Macaca fascicularis: one gene and its partners. The protein of the gene in region 5 interacts with the protein of the main gene of each other region in a pairwise test. Links are inferred from orthologs where the notes say so. Each region holds a gene or a part of one and is shown on either strand. Other genes may lie near its edges.

Region 1 (4,286 bases), on a different chromosome or scaffold from region 5:
TTGTTAATCTCTGCCCATTTAGGATTCCCCTTGGGTATCTCCTCTGTGCCCACCCAGTCTGAGCTAGGTGCCCTCTGATGGCAGGCTGTGTAGGCTCTCATTGCACTTGGCCACATGGAATGGAAATTTATGGCTTGTCTGCTTCCCACAGTGGACTGGGAGTTCCTTGAGGGTGGTGACTAAGGTTTTAAATCTCTATGTCCCACCCTAACCAAGCACCAGTTACCTTGTAAGTGCTTCATATCTGTTGTTAAGTAAATGAATAATGGAGAACCTAGACAAGGACTTGACAGAGAAGCAAAAGGAACAGTGACTGCCCAAATAGTACTTTTCACCCCTGGAAATGTTGTTACTACCCCGAGCATACAGTGAGCAGTCCACATCCATATAGATCAGCAGACCAAGTGGAATAGAATGAATGGAATGAGCCTGGCTTCTTCAGGCCTGATGCTGAGGACATGTGCCCTACCTGTATGGAGGAGATAGCTCTATCCCCCTCCAAAGACAGTGACAACACAGGTACATACACAAATGTATAGCATGTGTCACAGTCCTTAAAGACATTACATAGGGCTGAGCAAAGTAGGCACCTGTGCGCGTGTGGAGGACATATGGTAGCTCCAGAATTCCAGGAGCCAGCTCAGGGCGGCCCAGAACAAAGCGTCAGGGTGCGGAGGGCGTCTGCATGGGGCAGGGGACAGTGTCATGATGGCAGTTGATGACATTTGGGGGATTGAGTGAATAAGCATATAATATATTAAGGATAATGGGAGCCAGCTTCTGATGAATGTTAGAGAAGGGAGTTACAAATGTAGAAAGGGAGTGTTGGATTGGAATTGGAAGTATGAATTGGAAGTATGAATTGGCAGTATGAATTTATGGCTTTCAATACATATAGATTAATATAGAAATAAATAGATACGTAAATAGAGGAGGAAACTGGGATTCAAAATTAGATCTGTCTAGCTCTTTTCACTGATCTATACTACCGCCCTACACATAGGGCCTCTGCTGTGAAACCTCTGCCCCCTTCCCTGTCCCCCCAGAACCCCAACCCTAACTCACACAGACTTAAAAGATTCCACCCTCGTGGTTCCAGAGCATGCATCACATCTCATGTCATTAGCTGCACACAACTAACTCATGACGTTTTGATTACACTGAGGGTAGGCCTCCTCTTATCTGTATTCCCTGCATCTCCCTTGGAGCCAGGCACATGGTCATCACACTAGTTAGTATTAATATTTATTGTGCAGTTGTTATGCATCAGGAAAGACTTCCCATACATAATCATTCACAGCTGAAGACAACCTTATGAGGGATGTATTACCATCATTCTCATTTTACATATTGGCAAGGTGAGGTTAGCGGTGTTAACTGAGGTACTCCAAGATGCAGAGCTAGTGGGAAGTAGAACCAAGAGTCAAGGCCAGACAGTCTAATTCCTCAGGCTGTGCTCCTTGCCCCTCAGCTCTGCCACCATGGACTTGGTGTAAGTAAATGTTCACTCAACAAATTCCTCCCGGGGGATTTGTGTATCTGAATGCTCTCCCTCAATCCAAGTCCACTCTTTATGCTGAGCTTACTTGAAGCTCACCTCTTTAGGGAAGCCCCCCACCCCGCCATCCTACTCTGCACTGCCTCAGCATTCCTTGGGCACAGGACTTGCACCACGCCCTGACATATGAGCCAGTCAGTGTTGGAGCAGGGAACATAGTTTATCGACATTTGTTGAACTGAATTCAATGCCCAGGAATGGAAGTAAACAGGAATACATGACAAGGTGGTGTATTGTACAGGATACTGTGGCTATCTATTTCTGGATTTTCCTGAGAGTTCCAATTTCTAAAATTCCATCCTCTCATCAGACCATTTGTCAGAATACATGGCCAAGAATGTAGTCTGGAATTTTCTGTAAAGAGTAGGGTCACCATTCTACTGAAAAGAGATAGGAATGAAGACAGGATGTGCTGCTGGTCACCCACAACTCTACACATCCATGAGCAGGTCACAGCTTCTCTCAACCTCTTTATCCATGGGTAAAACTACAATGCAACACCTACTCCTACTGTGGAATGAAACAAAGTCTGTGTGTGAATGTGTTTTAAATACCGATAAAGAATATTGTCGCATAAACCCAGTTACTGTTAGTGGGATTACTTATATTTTTACTGATCTGTCTGGCAAGTCGTTTTCATTTGTCAAAGTAAATAAGCTTTGAATGAAGGCCACTGCAGAAAAAAATAGGGTATAAAGAGAGGAAATGCCAAGGCGTTTCTAGTGTTTTCAAAAAGACACACCTAGATATTTCCATCTTTTAGACTCTCCTCAGTTTGGGGGGTGTGTGTGTCTGTGTGTGTGTGTGTGTGTGAGAGAGAGAGAGAGAGAGAGAGAGAGAGAGAGAGAGAGAGAGGTGAGAACTGGGGGCTGAGTGGGCAGAGGTGACATTTTTAAAAAATGGTATGAGATTCTACCTTGTAGAGGAACTAGGCCATCTTACCTTTGCTGTATTGCGGATCAGTTCCCAGCTGTGTGAAGTCTCAGGTGATAGTCCGTTTGAGAGATGAGTTTTGCTGGCTTAGCAGTAGCTCAGGAAATTTTTCTTTCTCTTTCCAGTATTCTGTGTCCCAGCTATGCATCAAAACTGCTCCACCATTGTACATGCAGGGGTTAACCAGGGCATCCCCTGTCCCTTCTGCAAGGCTTTGGGTAGAGCAGATTCATAAAACTGAGAGCAGCTATGGAGAGCTTAGCGGGAGAGTGGTCCCCTGCAGAGCAGCATGCATTAGCATCAGTGACAAATCTATTCTGGTTTGGATGGGGCTGAGACGCCCCTGAACTTCCTTCTGCTTTTGCCAAAAGCCAAGATCCTTTTGTTCACCTTTAGGGTTGCCAAGTCAGGCCTACCTCGCCCCTAGATGTTGTTTCCTGTGGGCAATGGGAAAATGATCTTGGAGCCAGAGAAGGGAAATCAACAAGGAAATAAACACAGGGTCACCACACCTTCAGGCCATCATTAGGTCTGGAACATTATCATGCTAATAGGCAGGGGCTGCTGACTGGACAGGCCCTAGAATCCTGGGCATCTTTTATTTTTGAATATGAAAAGGGACATGCACCAAAATCTATATCAGGCAAATAAGTAGTTCTGACTTGTTCCAATACCTTGCCAAAACTTTCAAAGATTTTCTCTCGGCAGTATTGCTCATAACTGAACACTGGCTAATGTTTGTGGACAAAGAAAAAGACTGAGCAAGTTTGTGGCTGATACTACTTAAGACTCTTAACTCTAAAGATACAGAATGATTGTTTAAATAAGGATTTCTTCTGCTCATTCTTCAGCATTACCATCGCCATCATTGTCAGCCGCTGCAACATCTTTGCTAACATTTATTAAGTGCTTACTGCCTACCAGGTTCTGTAGTAATTACCTGACCTGCATTATTTAATTTAATTCTCAACAGAATCTATAATTATCACTCCCATTATATAGATAAAGAAACTGAGGATTAGAGACATTAAGTCGTTCCTGCAAAGTGACCCAGCTAGTTAAAAATGTAAACGTTGCGCTTCTGGAAGTGTGCTTTTCTGAGTTTTGCTTTTCCCACTGGTTTGCTTAAGCACTTCTGTGGGATGACAGCTCCAGTGATGGCCAAAGATTTTGCTTAAATAAGCGATAAGCTCTGGGAATTCGATTCTAAGTAGAAATGTGAATAATTAGTGAATTAAGTAGTCTCTTTCCAGAGATGTGAATCGGGAGCTCGGTGTTATCTTATGTATGTGCAACATGCAAGAAAGACACATGGAGTGCAGGTACTTGTGGCTCCCTAATTACAGGTGGTGCCGCTGGCTGCGGTGCCTTCAGCTCTCCACTGTGACTCTGATTTACAAACAAGGAAGTACACTGCAAATTCCTTGGCCTCTGTGTGCATTTTGGTCATGGCCTGATTGCCACTTTGTCCCTTTGACTTTCGGAGCCAGCTGCTACAAGTTTCTTTTAATCAATAATCCACGGAGTGAATGAGGCAAAATTGCCAACCTGGAAAATTCTGCCTGGTGAGATGAAGTCAGCACATGTATTTTCAGTCCTAAGGTCACACTTCTGACTCTTTTTGGTTCTACCCCTAATCTTTATTTTCAATTGCTAGCACTTAGCTCTCTTGTGTCATGGCGGTTACCCAGGGCAGCTGGCATCTGGTCAAACAAAAGTAAAACAGTTAATTAGGAACCAAAAGGATGCCCTCCAGTGGGCTCAAGTTTTCTGTTTTCATAAACATAAGAGTTGT
Region 2 (4,157 bases), on a different chromosome or scaffold from region 5:
TCCACCCACCTCGGCCTTCCAAAATGCTGGGATTACAGGCATGAGCCTCCACACCAGGCCCATGTATGTGTATCTTAAGTGTGTTAAATTCCACAAAGGGGAAGGAAAGGGAGCTACAATTACGGCATCTTTAGAGGACACCTGACTGAGCTCGGGAAACAAGACTGCTCTGAGGACTGAGATCTGACAGATGAGCAGTAGTTAACCAGGTATGGGAAGAGCTCATACAAAGGTCCTGTGGCTGGGGAGTGCTTGGGTCAGTGGAGGAATAGCAAGGAGGCCAAAATGACTTGTGCAAAGGAACAAGGCAGTGTGGGGTGGTGTGAGTCTGGAGGAGGGGCAAAGACCAGGCCATGCAGGACCCTAAAGGCCACAGTGAGGAGCCTAGGCTTTCTCTCAAGGGTACTTAGAAGCCATAGAGGTGCTGTGAGCAAGAAAGGGACAGGGTCAGTTTTGCGCTTTAGAAAGGCCTCTTGGACTCTTCTAGGGAGGACAGACTGGAGGAGCCAGGACTGGAGGCCAGCGGACCAGAGAGGAGGCTGGGGCAGTAATACAGGAGCAAATGGAAAATGTCTATATAAATGTCATCTGACAGGAAAACTGAACCTAGTAAACAGGTGCCATTTCAAGCTGGGATCCCAAGGAGACAGAGGAGTTAAACAGGTGAGGAGGGGGTAATACAGGCCAAAGCCCCGTGGTGGCAGAAATAGAAGGCCAGTGGAGCTGTCCAAGGATGAAGCTCAGTGGTCAGACCACAAGGGTCTTTTAGGCCAGGGATAGTTTGGTCTTCCCCCCAAAACAACTGAAGCATCAAACAGGAGAGGGAAGTGGTCAGGTTTCACTTAATATTCACTCCTTTTTTTTTTTTCCTTTTTTTTGAGACAGAATCTAGCTCTGTCACCCAGGCTGGAGTGCAGTGGCGCCATCTCCGTGCACTGCAGCTTCCCCCTCCCAGGCTAAGCAATTCTCGTGCCTCAGCCTCCCGAGTAGCTGGGACTACATGCACACACCACTAAGCCTGGCTAATTTATGTATCTTTAGTAGAGACGGGATTTCACCATTTTTGCCAGGCTGGTCTCAAACTCGTGACCTCAGGTGATCTGCCCACCTCGGCCTCCCAAAGTGCTGGGATTACAGGTGTGAGCCACCGTGCCCAGCCAACTTAATACTCACTCCTATTGTGTGCCAAGCCAAACCTCAAGAGTGGCTGAGCTCTTCTGGGAATGGGGAACCCAGCAACAAGCAAAACAGACAACGTTCTGGAGGTGGCCAGTCTAACGTCAGGACTGCTCTGAGGATTACAGAGACTTCCCTTTTTCTTGCTAACACCAGATCGGCACTGGGAGGCCACACCAAACGACACAGTATGTTACAACAAACAGAAGCTCTTGGGATCCTAACAATGACTATGCTCAAGAAAAGATTAATGAATATACTCCTGAGGAAATAAGCCTCTTGTCTTGACATACTTCCAAGCCCAGATTTTACCAGGATGACCTGTGTCCCCCAAACTAGGGTCCCCCACCCCAGACGAAAGGCCAGTTACTCACGATCTTTTCATAATACTCCCGTCTCCGCTCCGCCCTCTTCTTGTAGTCGACCATCATGCCTCGAAGTTTCCGCTCATGCTTCCGAGCCTCGTGCCACATTGTGGTGAGGCCAAGCCTGGGGCCTCAACCTGAGGGATGAAGGGACCAGGAAAGGAAGATGGGCTGTGAAAACCATATGGGCAGAATCAAAGTCATCTAACAAGTTGGTGACAGAGTCGATCCCAAACAACACATCGCTTAGCTTCAGGGAGCAGAAGTGAAGCTGCAGAACGGTATGCCAGATGTTCAAGTCCATCCCTAACAACTTCGATCTGGCAACTTGGGCATTCTAAAAAACCCTTAGGTGATTCTGAGGTGAGCATCCCTGGGAAAGGGGTGTCCTACATTCCATGCGCTGGAGTCGGGGATGAAAGTTTTGAAACATCAGTAGGGTCAGTAGTTTGAAGTAGGGTCAGACGGCAAACCCTGAGCACCTAAGGCTGGAGCTCAAGAGAAAGAGAAGAGCTGAAAAGGCTCCCACTAGGGGCCATGCGTGGGTATGAGTCTGGGTGCTAGAGGGATAAGGAAGGTAAGGATGAAGGCAGGTGGAGGAAATCGGAGAAAGCCTTTAAGGGAACAGTGCAGTTGCATGAAGGTGGAGGTCGAGGACAGGTGAAGGGCGTGGCGGAAAATGAAGATGCTAGAGGGAGTAGGAACACGGGAAGAGAGTGTTGCAAGGAGACCAGAGTGAAGTTGAGGTCTAAAGATGGGATCTAGATGGCAGGGTGTGGAGAGTACCCAAGGAAAAAGAGGGTAGAGCTTGAGAGAGGCGGAGTTGGCTGACGGGAGGGCGTGGGCTGAGCTTGGGGGCAGGGCTTGTGGGAAAGGGAGGAGACCGAAGGTTTGGACAGGGCTTGTGGATCGCGTCGCGGCCTGAGGATTTGGGCTGGATTGTTTTTTTTGGGTTTTTTTTTGACATGGGGGCGGGGACTGTGATAAGCTGTTGGCCGAAGGCCGAGTCCGACGCGGCAACTTCTGGCCCACAGCCGGGGCACGGGCGCGGCCTGAGGCCCGTCAGGCCGAATGGGGTGAGGGACGAGCGATCCTCGGGGCCGGGACGCAGCAGAAGCCTACAGCAGTATGGGAAAAGCCTAAGGAAAGGGAGAAGCTGGGCTGACGCCTGCCCGAAAACCGGGAGGTCGAGCCCGCCGCCTGCACTCACCGGCTGGTCTCCGCCTCCCAAAGCTGCGCTCGCGCGCTGCCCGCACAGGAAGCGGAAATGAAAGGCCGCGCTAGGGAGAGGGGGCGGAGCGTGGTGGAGCTCTGCACAGCGCAGTTCCGCCGACGTGAGGGGCGGGTCCTAGGGTTGAGAGGGGCGGGGTCAGAGGAAGAAGCGGTAGAACCGAGAAGGGAAGAGCTTGGATGCTTTATCTTTTTTAATTTTATTTATTTATTTTTATTTTTATTTATTTTTTTTTTGGATTGCAAAAATTTATTAAAATTGGAGACACTGTTTTAATCTTCTTGTGCCATGAGACTCCATCAGGCTGTCTACAAAGACCATTGGGAGGCTGAGGATCACTTGAGCCCAGACGTCTGAGGCTGTAGTAAGCTTCAGAGGGCCACTGCACTCCAGCTTGGGTGAGGAAAGACCCTGTCTTTCAAGCGGTAAGCTGCATGCTTGCTTGCTGTGGTCATTAAAAACCCTAGTTTAGGATAACAGGTCTGCCTGTTTGAAGATGAAAAATAATCCCATTTAAAATTTGCCCTACTCCATTTCCTTTTCAGTCACATTTCAACTTTTAAACAGCTAATCACTCCCATCTACAGATTAAGATGTATATGCCACTAAAACCTTTTGCCACCTTAAAAATTTCCTTGAGGCCGGGCGCGGTGGCTCAAGCCTGTAATCCCAGCACTTTGGGAGGCCGAGACGAGTGGATCACGAGGTCAGGAGATCGAGACCATCCTGGCAAACACGGTGAAACCCCGTCTCTACTAAAAAATACAAAAAAACTAGCTGGGCGAGGTGGCGGGCGCCTGTAGTCCCAGCTACTCGGGAGGCTGAGGCAGGAGAATGGCGTAAACCCGGGAGGCGGAGCTTGCAGTGAGCTGAGATCCAGCCACTGCACTCCAGCCTGGGCGACAGAGCCAGACTCCATCTCAAAAAAAAAAAAAAATTTCCTTGAAAGTTTAAACTAACCTGCATTTCTTCAAGCATGAAATCTGAGTCCTGAAATTAAGGGACAATACACAGTAAGACAACTTGCATACAATTAAGGGTAACCCAAAATCTCCAAACACTATAGAATGACTATATTCCCCTTTTCAGGGCATAAACTAGAATGTTACAGCCATCTTTTTATCTTTTTTATTTTATTTTATTTTTTTTTCTGAGACGGAGTCTGTCTTTGTCGCCCAGGCTAGAGTGGCGCGATCTAGGCTCACTGCAACCTTTGCCTCCTGGGTTCAAGCAATTCTCCCACCTCAGCCTCCCGAGTAGCTGGGACTACAGGCATGCGCCACCATGCCCGGCTAATTTTTGTATTTTTTGTAGAGACTAGGTTTCGTCTTTTTGCCCAGGCTGATCTCAAACTCGTGAGCTCAAGCGATCCTCCCGCCTTGGCC
Region 3 (4,156 bases), on a different chromosome or scaffold from region 5:
CCCACTGCGGGAGGGCTGGGTACCTGCCTCATGGGGCATCCTCGGGGCCAGCCCTGTGGCCGTAGGCATCTGGGCCCTCGCTGCCCCTGGCCGGAACACTCTGCTGGTCCTGGGCAGTGGCTTCAAATCCCCTCTCCCGGGGGTGACCCGGTCTTTCCGGAGATGAAGTGGGGACGGGGTCTAGGCCGCCTTCCTGGCCCCCCAGCCCTCCTGGTTTTACCCCCGAGGCCACGTCCAAAGCCCCCAGCGCCCCACCCCTGCCAGCCTCCCCCTTGAGGGCCCGGTGGCCTAACTGGGTCGGCAGGGTCCGAGGAAGACCAGGGTCAGCAGCGGCGCAGTCCGTTCCCCGACCCCGTCACCTGTGACCCACCTGTTCCCCGTGAGGTCCCGCCCCAGCGCCCCCCTCCCGGGCTCCTCCCTCTTTTCTCAGCCCGGGAGGCGCGGATAGCCGGGTTGGGCGTAACCGTGGGGCGAGGCCCGCGGGTCTTTCTGATTTCGGAGAGCGGGGTGGGCGCTGAGGCAACCGCGGTCAGGACCCGGCCGGGAGTCGGGGCTGCTCCCTGGACCCCGTCTGCGCCGAAACCCCGCATGGCTTCGGACCTGCGCCCGCGCCTAACCCCGGCCGCCGGAGACGCAGTGTGGACCCCAAGCCAGTGCGCGGAAGACACCGTCCTACCCTCGGCGTGGGCGCAACGCGAGTCCGTGTGTCCCGGCGCGCGGGAAGCTGGTCCGAGGCCGGAGGGAACGCTCGCGGCGTGGCTGCCTCCCACCCGGCCACTTCGGCCCCGCGCCCCACCCCGACGGCGCAGGCGACCCGGGGACGCCCAGGACGCGGAGACGCAAACAACTCGGGACCAAGGTTCGTGGGAGCAGCGGCCGCGCGTCGCGATGACCGTCCCGGGAGCCCGTGCTCAAGGCGTCCCCGTGAGGTTTGGGCTCCACAGTCCCCGGCGGCTCTGCCCCCGCCCTGGCCACAGTGGGGACAGCCCGGCTTGGCGGGGACGCGCCAGTCCCGCAGCCGAAGCGGAGTGTCTACCCCGCCGCGCGAGGCAGTGGCTCCGGCCCTTCCAGCTCCGGATGGGGTCAGGGAGCCGCCCGCGCCCGCATGCGGAGGCTGCTGCGATGGCCCCGGGAGTGAGTCCCCCAGAGGAGCCGGAGTAGGGCTGGAAGCGGACGAGTGCCCCGAGAGGCCCCTCCCGACATTGCCGTCCCCGCGCGCCGCTCCCCGAGCCCTCCGCGTCTTTCCCGGAAAGCGTCCCTCGGTTCCTGCGCGACCGCACAGCCTGGACGCAGCGCACGCGGGCACCGGCTGAGTCCGCCCTGACTCTCCCAGCCTGAAGCCTGCTCGCCCTCGGGTGTCCGGGCTGGGCACAGGCGCCAGCGTCCCCCTGGAGAGGAGAGGTCGCCCGGCACCGCCCAGGGCAGGCCCGAGTGGGAGCGGGACCCTCCTACCTTCCAGCAGCCTCGGCCCGCGGGGTGGGGGTTGGGAGAGATGAAAGGAGGTGACCGATGCCGAACCGTCCCCTCTCCATTAACCAGGGCCCGCAGCCCCGCCCCTGCCCCAGACACCGAGGAGCCGGGGAGGTGTGAACGGTCTCCTTTGTGTCTCTGAATCGAAGGCAATTAGGCGCTGCTTATCCGGGCGTTAGCCGTGTATGCAAACCGGGCTCCCGCCCCCTCCTCCCGGGCTTATAAACGCCGCCGCCCGGCGAGGCCGGAGGTGGATCCTGCGCCTGGCCAGCCCCGCCCGGCCTTCCCTCCGGCCCACCTGGCCGCCATGCGCCTCTCCTCCTCCCCACCTCGTGGCCAGCAGCAGCCCTCCAGCTTTGGCTCTGTGGACTGGCTCTCCCAGAGCAGCTGCTCAGGGTTGACCCCCTCGCCCAGGCCTGCCGACGTCTCCCCGGGGAGCCTCCCTGGCCCGGGCCAGATATCCGGCGCCCGGGAGCCCCCTCAGGCCATCAGCATCAAGGAGGCCGCCACGTCCTCAGATCTGCCTGCGCCGGAGAGGACCGTGGCTGGTAGGTCCGGGCCGGGGGTCCTTCCCAGGTGGAGATGGGAGTGGGGGAGAGGCCAGGAGCCCGGCGGCTGAACTCCCCGCGGTACGGGGCGGACGAGGACAGGGCCGGGGACGTGTCCATGAGGGCCGGCGGAGGCCTTGCCTGCGCCTCACTGGAGCGCAGCTTCCCTCGAAACCAAAGCCTTGACGGGGATTTTCTCTCCTTGAGCCCTCGGTGGGCTCCTCTGCCTCCCTTGGCACCCCGTTCCTCAGCTGTGTCCCACCGCGGCCTGGTGCCGAGGGACCGTCCAAGGGGTCCCTGTCCGCACCTCTCTGCCCTGATTCCGGGCGCTCACTGAAACACAGCGCGGGCGTGGGCACCTGTGCCCCTAGTGTTCCAGCCCCGCAACCATCGAGACCCAGTTCCAGGGGTCCGACGATTTGCCAAGCCCCCTCTGCCCCCAGCAAAGCCAGTGCCTGCTCAGCATCTAGGCTCAAGCCCCTTCCAGGCCACCTGGAGCACAGCTGTCTTTTAAAGAGCCTGCAGGTTTGCTGTAGGGCGGCGGTGACCCGGTGCCTGCAGAAACTCTGAAGTTCGGTCTGTGGCCCGGAGATGCTCTGTTGTCTGCTGAGAACAAAGGTTCTCCGCGTTTGTGTTTTAGTCTTTGTGACATCGTTGCCGCTTTTAGGTTTAAGGTAGTACTTGGTCAAAAGTGGGGTTAACATAAGTTTTCATTTTTAAAAATTTGACTGATCCTCATGGAGTAACTTTGTACTTCAGGGAAATGAAAATTTAAATATGTTCTTCCCAGCTAGCTATCCTGCCCCACCCCAAAAAAGTCAACCATTCCTGTCCCCCAACCCCCTTCCTGATCCCAGTCCTACAGCCCTCCCCGCCACAAGGCATTTGCTTTTCGGGTCTCCCATGTGCTTTCAGGCTAACGTGAAGACAGATTTTGTAAAATACGCTTCCTTCCGCAGAAACTCCAGTGAGCATTTGGGTCAGACTTGAGTTAAATGTTGAGCTCGTTTCGCCACGTTGGCCTCCTTCCTGGGACCCAGACACACACCACCTTGTGGGGTTGTTTAGTGCCAGCCCCCATTCCTTAACTTAGAAATTAGAAAACAGACTTGACCAAGGTGGGCCTGGGGATTAACTGAGCCGGGCTCTGCTGGCTGAGGAGCCGGAGCCCAGGACAGGGACCGAGTTCCCTGGGTGGGTCCCCAGGCCTTTGCATGTAATGGACTCTACCTTACCTGCCTGGAAGTCTGCAGAAAGGGTATCCTGGGAACCGGCTTCGGAAGGGAAGTGTGGGATGGGGCCGAACTGAGTGAGCTGAGCCAGCCGAGCGGAGGGCAGGCCCAAGCTGCTGGTAGCATTCTCCCTCCCCTGAGTCACCTCTCTCAGCCCCTTTCCGCACGCACATGACCTGGAGGCTGCGGCAGGGCTGCTGGTCACTGTCAGGTGAGAAGATCTGCCCTGCCCAGCCCCCAACATGCTGTCTTCACCTGTTACCTGTGGGCGGGGCTTGCCCCATGGGGTGGCAGGCTCAGCCAAATGCTCTCACCCTCTATGCCAGGGTTGAGTAAGGAGCCAAATACCTTGCGGGGCCCCCGTGTCCGCACAGCCTTCACCACGGACCAGGTCCGCACCTTGGAGGGCGTCTTCCAGCACCACCAGTACCTGAGCCCTCTTGAGCGGAAGAGGCTGGCCAGGGAGATGCAGCTCTCAGAGGTCCAGGTGAGGCGGGCCGGGCTGAGGTGGGCAAGGGTGGGCCGGTGGCCTAGTCTCACCCCTGCTCTGATTTTGGTTTTCCTGCAGATAAAAACCTGGTTTCAGAATCGCCGGATGAAACACAAACGGCAAATGCAAGAAGTCCCGCCGAACAGCCCCTTCCTGGGGTCTCTCCACGTGCCCCCAGCTTTCCACTCACCGTCTTCTGGCCTTGCCAATGGCCTGCAGCTGCTGTGCCCTTGGGCACCCCTGCCTGGGCCCCAGGCTCTGATGCTGCCCCCGGGCTCCTTCTGGGGTCTCTGCCAAGTGGAACAGGAGGCCCTGGCCTGTACGGGGGCTTCCTGCTGCAGGCAACCTCTGGCGCACCACCCCCCAACCACAGGAAGTGGCCTGCCTGCACCGGGACCAGCCCTGTCCACGGGGCC
Region 4 (3,511 bases), on a different chromosome or scaffold from region 5:
AAACAGCCTACAGAATGGGAGAAAATATTTACAAACTACGTATTCCACAAAGGTCTAATATCTAGAATCTGTAAGGAACTTAAATTTATGAGCAAAAAACAACCCTATTACAAAGTGGGTGAAGGACATAAACAGATGCTTTTCAAAGAAAGATACACAAGTGGCCAATAAGTATATGAAAAATGTCCATTATCACTAATATTAGAGAAATGCAAATCAAAACCACCAGATACCATCTCACGCCAGTTAAAATGTCTATTATTAAAAACTCAAAAAATAATGAATGTTGGTAAGGTTGCAAAGAAATAGAAACAATTATACACTGCTGGTGGGAGTGCAAATTAATTCAACCGTTGTGGAAAACAGTGTGGCAATTCCTCAAAGACCTAAAAACAGAAATCATTTGACCCAGTAATCCCATTACTGGGTATTTACCCAAGGAATATAAATCGTTCTACCATAAAGACACACATGTGTATATTCACTGCAGCACTACTCACAACAGCAAAAACAAGGAATCAACCTAAGTGTCCATCAATGGTAGCCTGGATAAAGAAAATGTGGTATATATACACTATGGAATACTATGCAGACATAAAAAAGAATGAGATCACGTCCTTTGCAGCAACATAGATTGAGCTGGAGGCCATTATCTGAAGCAAACTAATACAGAAACAGGAAACCACATACCACATGTTCTCACTTGTAAGTGGGGGCTAAATGATGAGACCTCATGGACACAAAGAGGGAAACAGCAGATGTTAGGGCCTATTTGAGGGTGGTTGGTGGGAGGGGGGAGAGGATCAGAAAAAAATACCTATTGGGTATTGTGCTTATTACCTGGGTGATGAAATAATCTCTACACCAAACCCCAATGGTATAAAGTTTACCTATATAAAAACCTGCACATGTACCCCTGAACCTAAAATGTAAGTTAAAAAAATATATCACCTCATCCTCACCAGGGAAAAGAGGAAAAAGTCATTTTATTCTTTAGGTGGGTTCAATGACAGGTTTGTATCTTCAATGTACATTTGATGCTGTCACTTTTTCTCTACATCTATAATTTACCAAATTCATTAATTCACAGTCATGTTGAAATTCTGAACAACCACATTGAAGTAAGATTTATAACTTTAATATCTTTTTCATGTACCAACAGCGGAGCCCATGCATCTGATCATCCTTTACTCTAGAACTTAAGAGGATTATGCAAAAAACTTTTATGAAAGCACACTTCATAAACAAAGTTTCCTTTCTACTTCAACCAAAATATTGTACAGCTTATGAGAAAACTTGCAATAATAAATTGTAAAATGTTTTACAGACACTAATATTTGTAAATCTTTATGAGAAATTTTTAGGGGATTGATAACGTTTGTTATTCTTGATAGTTGCAACAACAACAAACACTCAGGAGGCATTTGCTTATGTGCCAGATATTCCCCTAACTCTTTGAGGTAAGTGCCGTTTTAAAGATGAGGAAATTGAGGTACAGTGATATAACCAGGCAATCTGACTTTAGGGTCCAACTTCTTATCCACTATTCTAAACATGGATGTTGTAGCCTTTATAAACATTACATTAATCAAATACAGCATATCTATACTCTAGTAAAATGTTCCAAACCCTAAGCCAAAATCTCTGTTTTAAAATTTTTACAACTTTTTGGCCATGGAAACACAAACAAACAAAAAAATACACTTGGAGAATTAGAATGTATTACATAAAGACACCAACTAGTCATTCCTACCTCAAGTCTGTCTGTTCGCATTAATTTCTGTGCAGCAGCTGCAGCAGCTGCAGGTACAGGGACACCCGGATTCCCTGTAACCAACATTGGTGCAGTCGGCAAGATCTCTGCTGGGACCAGGCTTGGAGAAACAGGTCCCAGATAGGGATTAAAGGCTGCTGATGCATTGGTGGCTAAGCTTGGTGCAACTGAAAACATTGGCTGAAAAATAAAATAAAAGCAAAATTTAACAAGCAGGTCTCAGCTCAAAGTTGATTATTCTTAATTATACATTTGTCCTCCATCCATCTATCAACTCTTCCTTCCTTCCCTTCTTCCCTTTAATCCTGTGTTCATTTACCATTTGTCCTCCATCCATCTATCCATTCTTCCTCCCTTGCCTTCTTCCCTTTAATCCTGTGTTCATTTACTATCATTTAGGGTAAGGCTGTTTTATTAAATAAGCACTCATCAAATCAATGTTTTTCTAAAATATAACAGGTAAAATATCCATTAAATTATTCACTGGAATTTTGAACCTGGGGGGTCTATAATACTTGTAATTTTTTTTTTTTTGAAAAATAGATAAACTAGGCAGAAACTCCTTGTGGTCACCTAATCTTCATCTTTGCCCTGACTTAATTCTAGATATTTGTCTAAGAAATACATTTTGTAATTGCTATGTCAGATGTACTTGAAAGACCTGTTTACCACTGTTAATAGGTTGCAAGTGTCCTATGATCTGGAATAAATACAGTAGAACTCCCAGGGGATAAAAGAGTTTCACAGTCAATGTAAGCTGTAAATAAATCTCATGGGTTTGGGAAAGGTGATGATGACACCTTGTCTTCTGAGCACATAAGATAAAGTGTTTGGTATACTTACTTGATGGTGATTTTTCTGGGGGAAATTATAAATGTTCCACTAGTCTATCATACCTTACTAAGGGAAAACACGTCTAAAATGTGAAGTCTGAAGTAGAACTGCTACTAAGGAAATGCTACATGATTAGTCAAGGAAATACATATGGCAGAACTGAATAAACTGCTACAAGACAGAATTTCTTCCAGAAATGCTTTCATGGATACACAAGGATTGTTTCTATTTGTTGATATGCAAACTTGCATATCATAAAATATATTTGTTCTTGAATAGCATTAATTTACCTGAAATCTAACAATTTGTTTTTCTAGTGTTTAAAGTATAACAGAACACAAACAATTTCATATCTTATGGATAGTACATTTTTAACTTCCTAACAGACTCTCAATTCTAGTTCTCGAAGTTTAATGCTTCATGTAATAATGCTTGTTTCTGAAACACAAAAGCTTGTAGGCAAAACGGATGCTGTTCTTTAAGGTAATTTTTTTTTTTTTTTTTTTTTTTTTGAGACGGAGCCTTGCTCTGTTGCCCCAGCTAGAGTGCAGTGGTGCAATCTTGGCTCACTGCAAGCTCCACCTCCCGGGTTCATGCCATTCTCCTGCCTCAGCCTCCCTAGTAGCTGGGACTACAGGTGCCTGCCACCATGCCTGGCTAATTTTTTGTATTTTTAGTAGAGACGGGGTTTCATCATGTTAGCCAGGATGGTCTCAATCTCCTGACCTCATGATCTGCCCACTTTGGCCTCCCAAAGTGCTGAGATTACAGGCCTGAGCCACCGAGCCCAGCCTCTTTAAGGTAATATTTAACAATTTATTTTCTTTACTCAGTAGTAATGAACAGAATTACAGAACATTTTTTAGAATAAAAGAGACATTATAATGTATTAATAACTAATTC
Region 5 (3,941 bases):
TCTAAGCTAGATGGTAAGACTGGTCTTGCTTCATGTGGGCTCTAATCGCTCCCTCTTAGGGCTAGTATTTCCCTCGCTGCTTTTCTTTCCCTTCCTGCATCTCTCCCTTCTTCTCCTCACCACCAACCTCCCCAACCCCCAACCCCCAACCTAGTTCTCTGTCTCTGCTTCCTCTTTCCCACTGTCTGGTTGCATTTGAAGACTTAAGCTATCTCTGTCTCTCTATATCTCTTAGCTCTGCCCCCCACTCACTCCTTCCTTTGCCTCTTCCCCTCTCTTCTTTCTTCTCTCCCTCTATTCTCACTCTGCATCCCTTCCCGGTATGTACAAAAGATTCCATTTTTAAAAAGGAGCAAGGCTTTTGCTTGCACAAGAATCTGATCCACAAATGTGGTCACTGTAAGGCAACTAGCTGAGTCCAGATTCAAGAAAAGAAAAATCTTGTCAAAGAGAGAGTGCTGAATGGTGGCCATTCATTTTGAGGGAGGCGGGTGAATCCTGTGGCTCCCAGTTGTCCCTGCACACCAGTATCACCAGGCAGTCTTCCAGCTGGGAAATCCCTATTTGCCAATAAGCCCTGGCCAGCCCCCATTCCTTTCCACTAGGAGCGAGGTGGCACTGTTGCTGTCACATTGCGTGTACTGCTCCAGCTACTCCTTCCGCTCAGCTGAGAAAAAGAAAAAGCCATAAAATTCAGAACCAGCTAATGTCAGCACTGCAGGGGATTTCAGAGATCCCTTGGTCCAACCCTTGTCAGGTCACTGGTGGAGAGACTGGGGCCCCATGTCACTAAATGCCAGGGAGATCTATTATTAGAAAACCCAGACCTAGGACCTGTTGCAAAAATCCCTCTGCCCTGGGAACACCTCTAGATTTTGAACAGAATCTTAACAGAAATCTACTATCTAGCATCCGAATGTATAAAGAGATAGAAGCAGCTTAAAATAGAGACAGAAAGAGGTTCAAATGCACATGGTGCAGGTACGAAATTCACTACATGTTCCCTGCACGAAGGATTTGGGCAGGGAAGTGTGTGGAAGATGGGGCTGCAGTGGTAGAGGGCTCCAAGCTCTGAAGACCTTTTTAATATGGCTGTATTGTAATACTGCAGTGCCAAACCCCACCAGTCATTCCAAAAGCAAAAGGAAGCCCCGCTCTGCAGCAGAACTTCCCAGGCCTGGAAACAGATTGTCTTTCTTTTGCACCCATTTAATAACCGCTGTATTTAACATGATCACGGGAAATGTGCATCCTCGGAAGGCACAGTAAGGAACCTCGGTCTGCAACGACGCGATTCCTCGGACACGAAACTAAAATGCATTCATTGGAACTCAGCCTCCCAAAGCGGAAGCAAAAACACAGCAAGGCGATTTACAGGCAAGAGCCCCTCTGAAAGAGAGGAGAGGAGGGGGCTTGGAAAGCAAGGGGACACACCTTTTCTGAGCTGTTCGAAACAGGCTGCCTGCAAAGTCCACCCATACTGTGCTGCCAAGGGTTAATTTTATCGGCAAAAATTGGTACACACACACACAAACTCCTACTGCACCCCCACAACCTCAGCCACCACCACATAGTTGGATCTTTTTAATCTTAAATTCTCAGAAATTCCCTGATCAGCCCTATCTTTTCGGAACAGCCCCTCCACCTGGGCTGGATTCCCACCTCATCATCAGTGAAAGCCCAGAGAGCCGGGCATAATTATTTTCCTACAAGGTTATGCCTAATTGGCCACTAACCTAATTGATTAATCATCTTATTTTTCAAAGCAGCATCAAAGAGCCAAGCTGAGAGGGCAGAAAGAAAGCATGCGTCCAGATGGCGCGAGGGTTAAAATTACAGACTTTGGGTAAGACCCCTGGCCAGCTTGCCTGGTTTCTAGATACAGAAGTGGACAAAAAAGAAATGAAAACGCGGACTGAGCGAGGAAATGCGCAAGATCACAGAAGGACTGAACCTGCCGGGAACCTCAAGGCTACCCAGCTAGCCCGAGTCCAGTCGTCGACGCGGATGAAGTTGTTTCCTCGGAACAGAAAGGGTTAAATGGCTGCGCGTCAACTCGGCCTCAGCTGGGGTGTCAGGGAGCAAGAGCCGCTTGGCTCGGGCGATTCCGCGTGGTGGGGGAAGCCCGAGGGTCGCCCTGGCGCTCCGGCCACAACTTGGCCGGCTCGGTGCGGCAGCCCTCGCCTGCGCCTTTGCGCGCCACCCAAAACTTTGCGCACACTGCAGCCGCCGCCTGCCCACTCTGCGCGGTGAGACGCGCGCCGCCAAGCGCCGCGGGCAGCCCTCCGCAGCCGCCGCGGCAGCCGTTGCCTGGCTTCTGGCTCCAGACTTTTCCCCTGCTGCCTCCAGTTCCCACCCAGGAGGCTCTCTCGCGGCCGCGAGACCGCGGCGCCCAACCCACAGTGGGCAGTGCGGGCGCAGCGTTGCAGACCACCACCTCGCCGGGTGCGGGCAGCGCCCACTGGACGGATGGGCCCCCGCGGCCGCCCCTACCCCGGCGCGCCCACCTCGAGCCTCCCACGCCGCGGCGGGCGCAACATCTTTTCCTACCTCCAGCCGCCGAGGACCACACTCTCCGCTCAGCCCTCTCGACTCATCCTCCGGCTGCAGTAGAGGACGAGCGGGCTCCGCTTTTGTTCCCTGGGGCTGGCAGGTCCGTGTGGGGCCAGGGCGCGCGGGAGATGCCGCGGAGCTGGGTATCCCGGAGAGGGGATGCTCACTCCCAGCAGCTCCGCTGGCAGCAGTAGTGGTGGTGGCAGCAGAGGCAGCGGCAGCAACAGCAGAAGCAGCAGCAGCAGCAGTAGAGATAGTGCCGGCTCTCTGCAGGCCACATCTTTCATACCTTATACATCACTACCGCATTCCCCCGAATAGGGGAGCCCCTCAGCATTTCGCTACCTAGCGCGGAATGCTGTTGCCCGAAGAGGTGGCGCGGCCTGACCGACCTGGCCTGAATGTGAGCTCTGAGTGGGAAGGACCTCAGCACCCACTCGCAGACTCCCTTCTCTGCTACGGTCACAGTGAGGTCTACAACTTGCAGCCATTCTGCAGTCTTCACCGTTTGCGGTGCTCAGTGTCTGCTCCCCTGGGAAGTATGGGCTTCGGGTTAAGCAAAAGTGATTTACTAGGGAGAGCCCTCTCTGAGCTGCCTCTAGGGTCTTGGCCTGCATGTGCTTTTACACAGCCTCCTCCTTCTTGCGGTGTTCACAGGTGCAAGATTTTGCAGCAGCAGACACACACTCTCCTGCAGGTACATAAACCCCTGAGACATGTTATGCACACCCCACAATCAAGTGTGTGGGCACTGAAGCAGACAGACCAGGGTTTCGGTTGTATCTGTGTGGTCTTATCAAACGACCAAATGATTGAGCTTCCATTTCTTCATCTACAAAATGGGAACCATATGTCTCATAGAATTGTGATAATCACATGAGACAAGCACAGAGCTTGACACATGGTAAGTGATAGCAAAACATGAGTTTTTCTTCCTTCATCTGACGCAGGTCTGCCCTTCTTGAGGTAATTATATATCAGTAACAATTCACTCATCAATAAATATTTTTGTGTGCTTACTATGAGCCAACCTCTACTTTATGGAGACGGGCAGAACATTCAAAAGAACACAGACAAGTAATTTTTATTCTCTTGTAACCTGCTCTCTAGTAAGGCGGAAAATAAACAAGTAAATCAGCAAGAAGCTATTGGATAGTAATTATCACTATTGACCAAAATTTAAGTAGATGACGACATGTGATAGAAAATGACTGGGGTAGGACATCAGGCTGGGCGTTTGGGAAACAGCCCTCTAAGCACATGACCACTGATCTGAGGTCTGTATGATAAGGAACCAGTCATTAGAAATAGTGAGAACAAGTGCCAAGGCCCTGAAGAAGGAACAGGTTGAATGTGTTTGAATAGCAGGAGGAAGGAAGTGTGGCTAG

Evidence for each region.
Region 1: the proteins of DAB1 (region 5) and LNX1 interact in binary tests that used the Homo sapiens proteins (3 or more experiments, as listed by UniProt). The link is inferred for Macaca fascicularis from reciprocal best matches to the Homo sapiens genes DAB1 and LNX1.
Region 2: the proteins of DAB1 (region 5) and CLASRP interact in a two-hybrid assay, tested with the Homo sapiens proteins (2 studies listed by BioGRID and IntAct). The link is inferred for Macaca fascicularis from reciprocal best matches to the Homo sapiens genes DAB1 and CLASRP.
Region 3: the proteins of DAB1 (region 5) and VENTX interact in binary tests that used the Homo sapiens proteins (3 or more experiments, as listed by UniProt). The two-hybrid records come from large-scale screens. The link is inferred for Macaca fascicularis from reciprocal best matches to the Homo sapiens genes DAB1 and VENTX.
Region 4: the proteins of DAB1 (region 5) and MBNL1 interact in binary tests that used the Homo sapiens proteins (3 or more experiments, as listed by UniProt). The link is inferred for Macaca fascicularis from reciprocal best matches to the Homo sapiens genes DAB1 and MBNL1.

What each region holds. Positions count from the first base shown.
Region 1 is NC_088379.1:80,251,441-80,255,726, reverse strand, and holds the start of LNX1 (E3 ubiquitin-protein ligase LNX), read right to left. Parts: upstream 2,811-4,286; 5' UTR 2,501-2,810; intron 1-2,500.
Region 2 is NC_088393.1:53,079,236-53,083,392, reverse strand, and holds the start of CLASRP (CLK4-associating serine/arginine rich protein), read right to left. Parts: upstream 2,805-4,157; 5' UTR 2,752-2,804; intron 1,713-2,751; exon of another isoform or gene 1,679-1,712; 5' UTR 1,650-1,678; coding exon 1,551-1,649; intron 1-1,550. UniProt on the Homo sapiens protein: Probably functions as an alternative splicing regulator. May regulate the mRNA splicing of genes such as CLK1. May act by regulating members of the CLK kinase family.
Region 3 is NC_088383.1:142,308,078-142,312,233, forward strand, and holds the start of VENTX (homeobox protein VENTX), read left to right. Parts: upstream 1-1,348; 5' UTR 1,349-1,777; coding exon 1,778-2,018; intron 2,019-3,264; exon of another isoform or gene 3,265-3,421; coding exon of another isoform or gene 3,422-3,461; intron 3,462-3,576; coding exon 3,577-3,737; intron 3,738-3,818; coding exon 3,819-4,156. UniProt on the Homo sapiens protein: May be involved in ventralization.
Region 4 is NC_088376.1:55,377,900-55,381,410, reverse strand, and holds part of MBNL1 (muscleblind-like protein 1), read right to left. Parts: intron 1,955-3,511; coding exon 1,754-1,954; intron 1-1,753. UniProt on the Homo sapiens protein: Mediates pre-mRNA alternative splicing regulation. Acts either as activator or repressor of splicing on specific pre-mRNA targets. Inhibits cardiac troponin-T (TNNT2) pre-mRNA exon inclusion but induces insulin receptor (IR) pre-mRNA exon inclusion in muscle.
Region 5 is NC_088375.1:176,441,365-176,445,305, reverse strand, and holds the start of DAB1 (disabled homolog 1), read right to left. Parts: upstream 2,812-3,941; 5' UTR 2,551-2,811; intron 1-2,550. UniProt on the Homo sapiens protein: Signaling adapter of the reelin-mediated signaling pathway, which regulates the migration and differentiation of postmitotic neurons during brain development.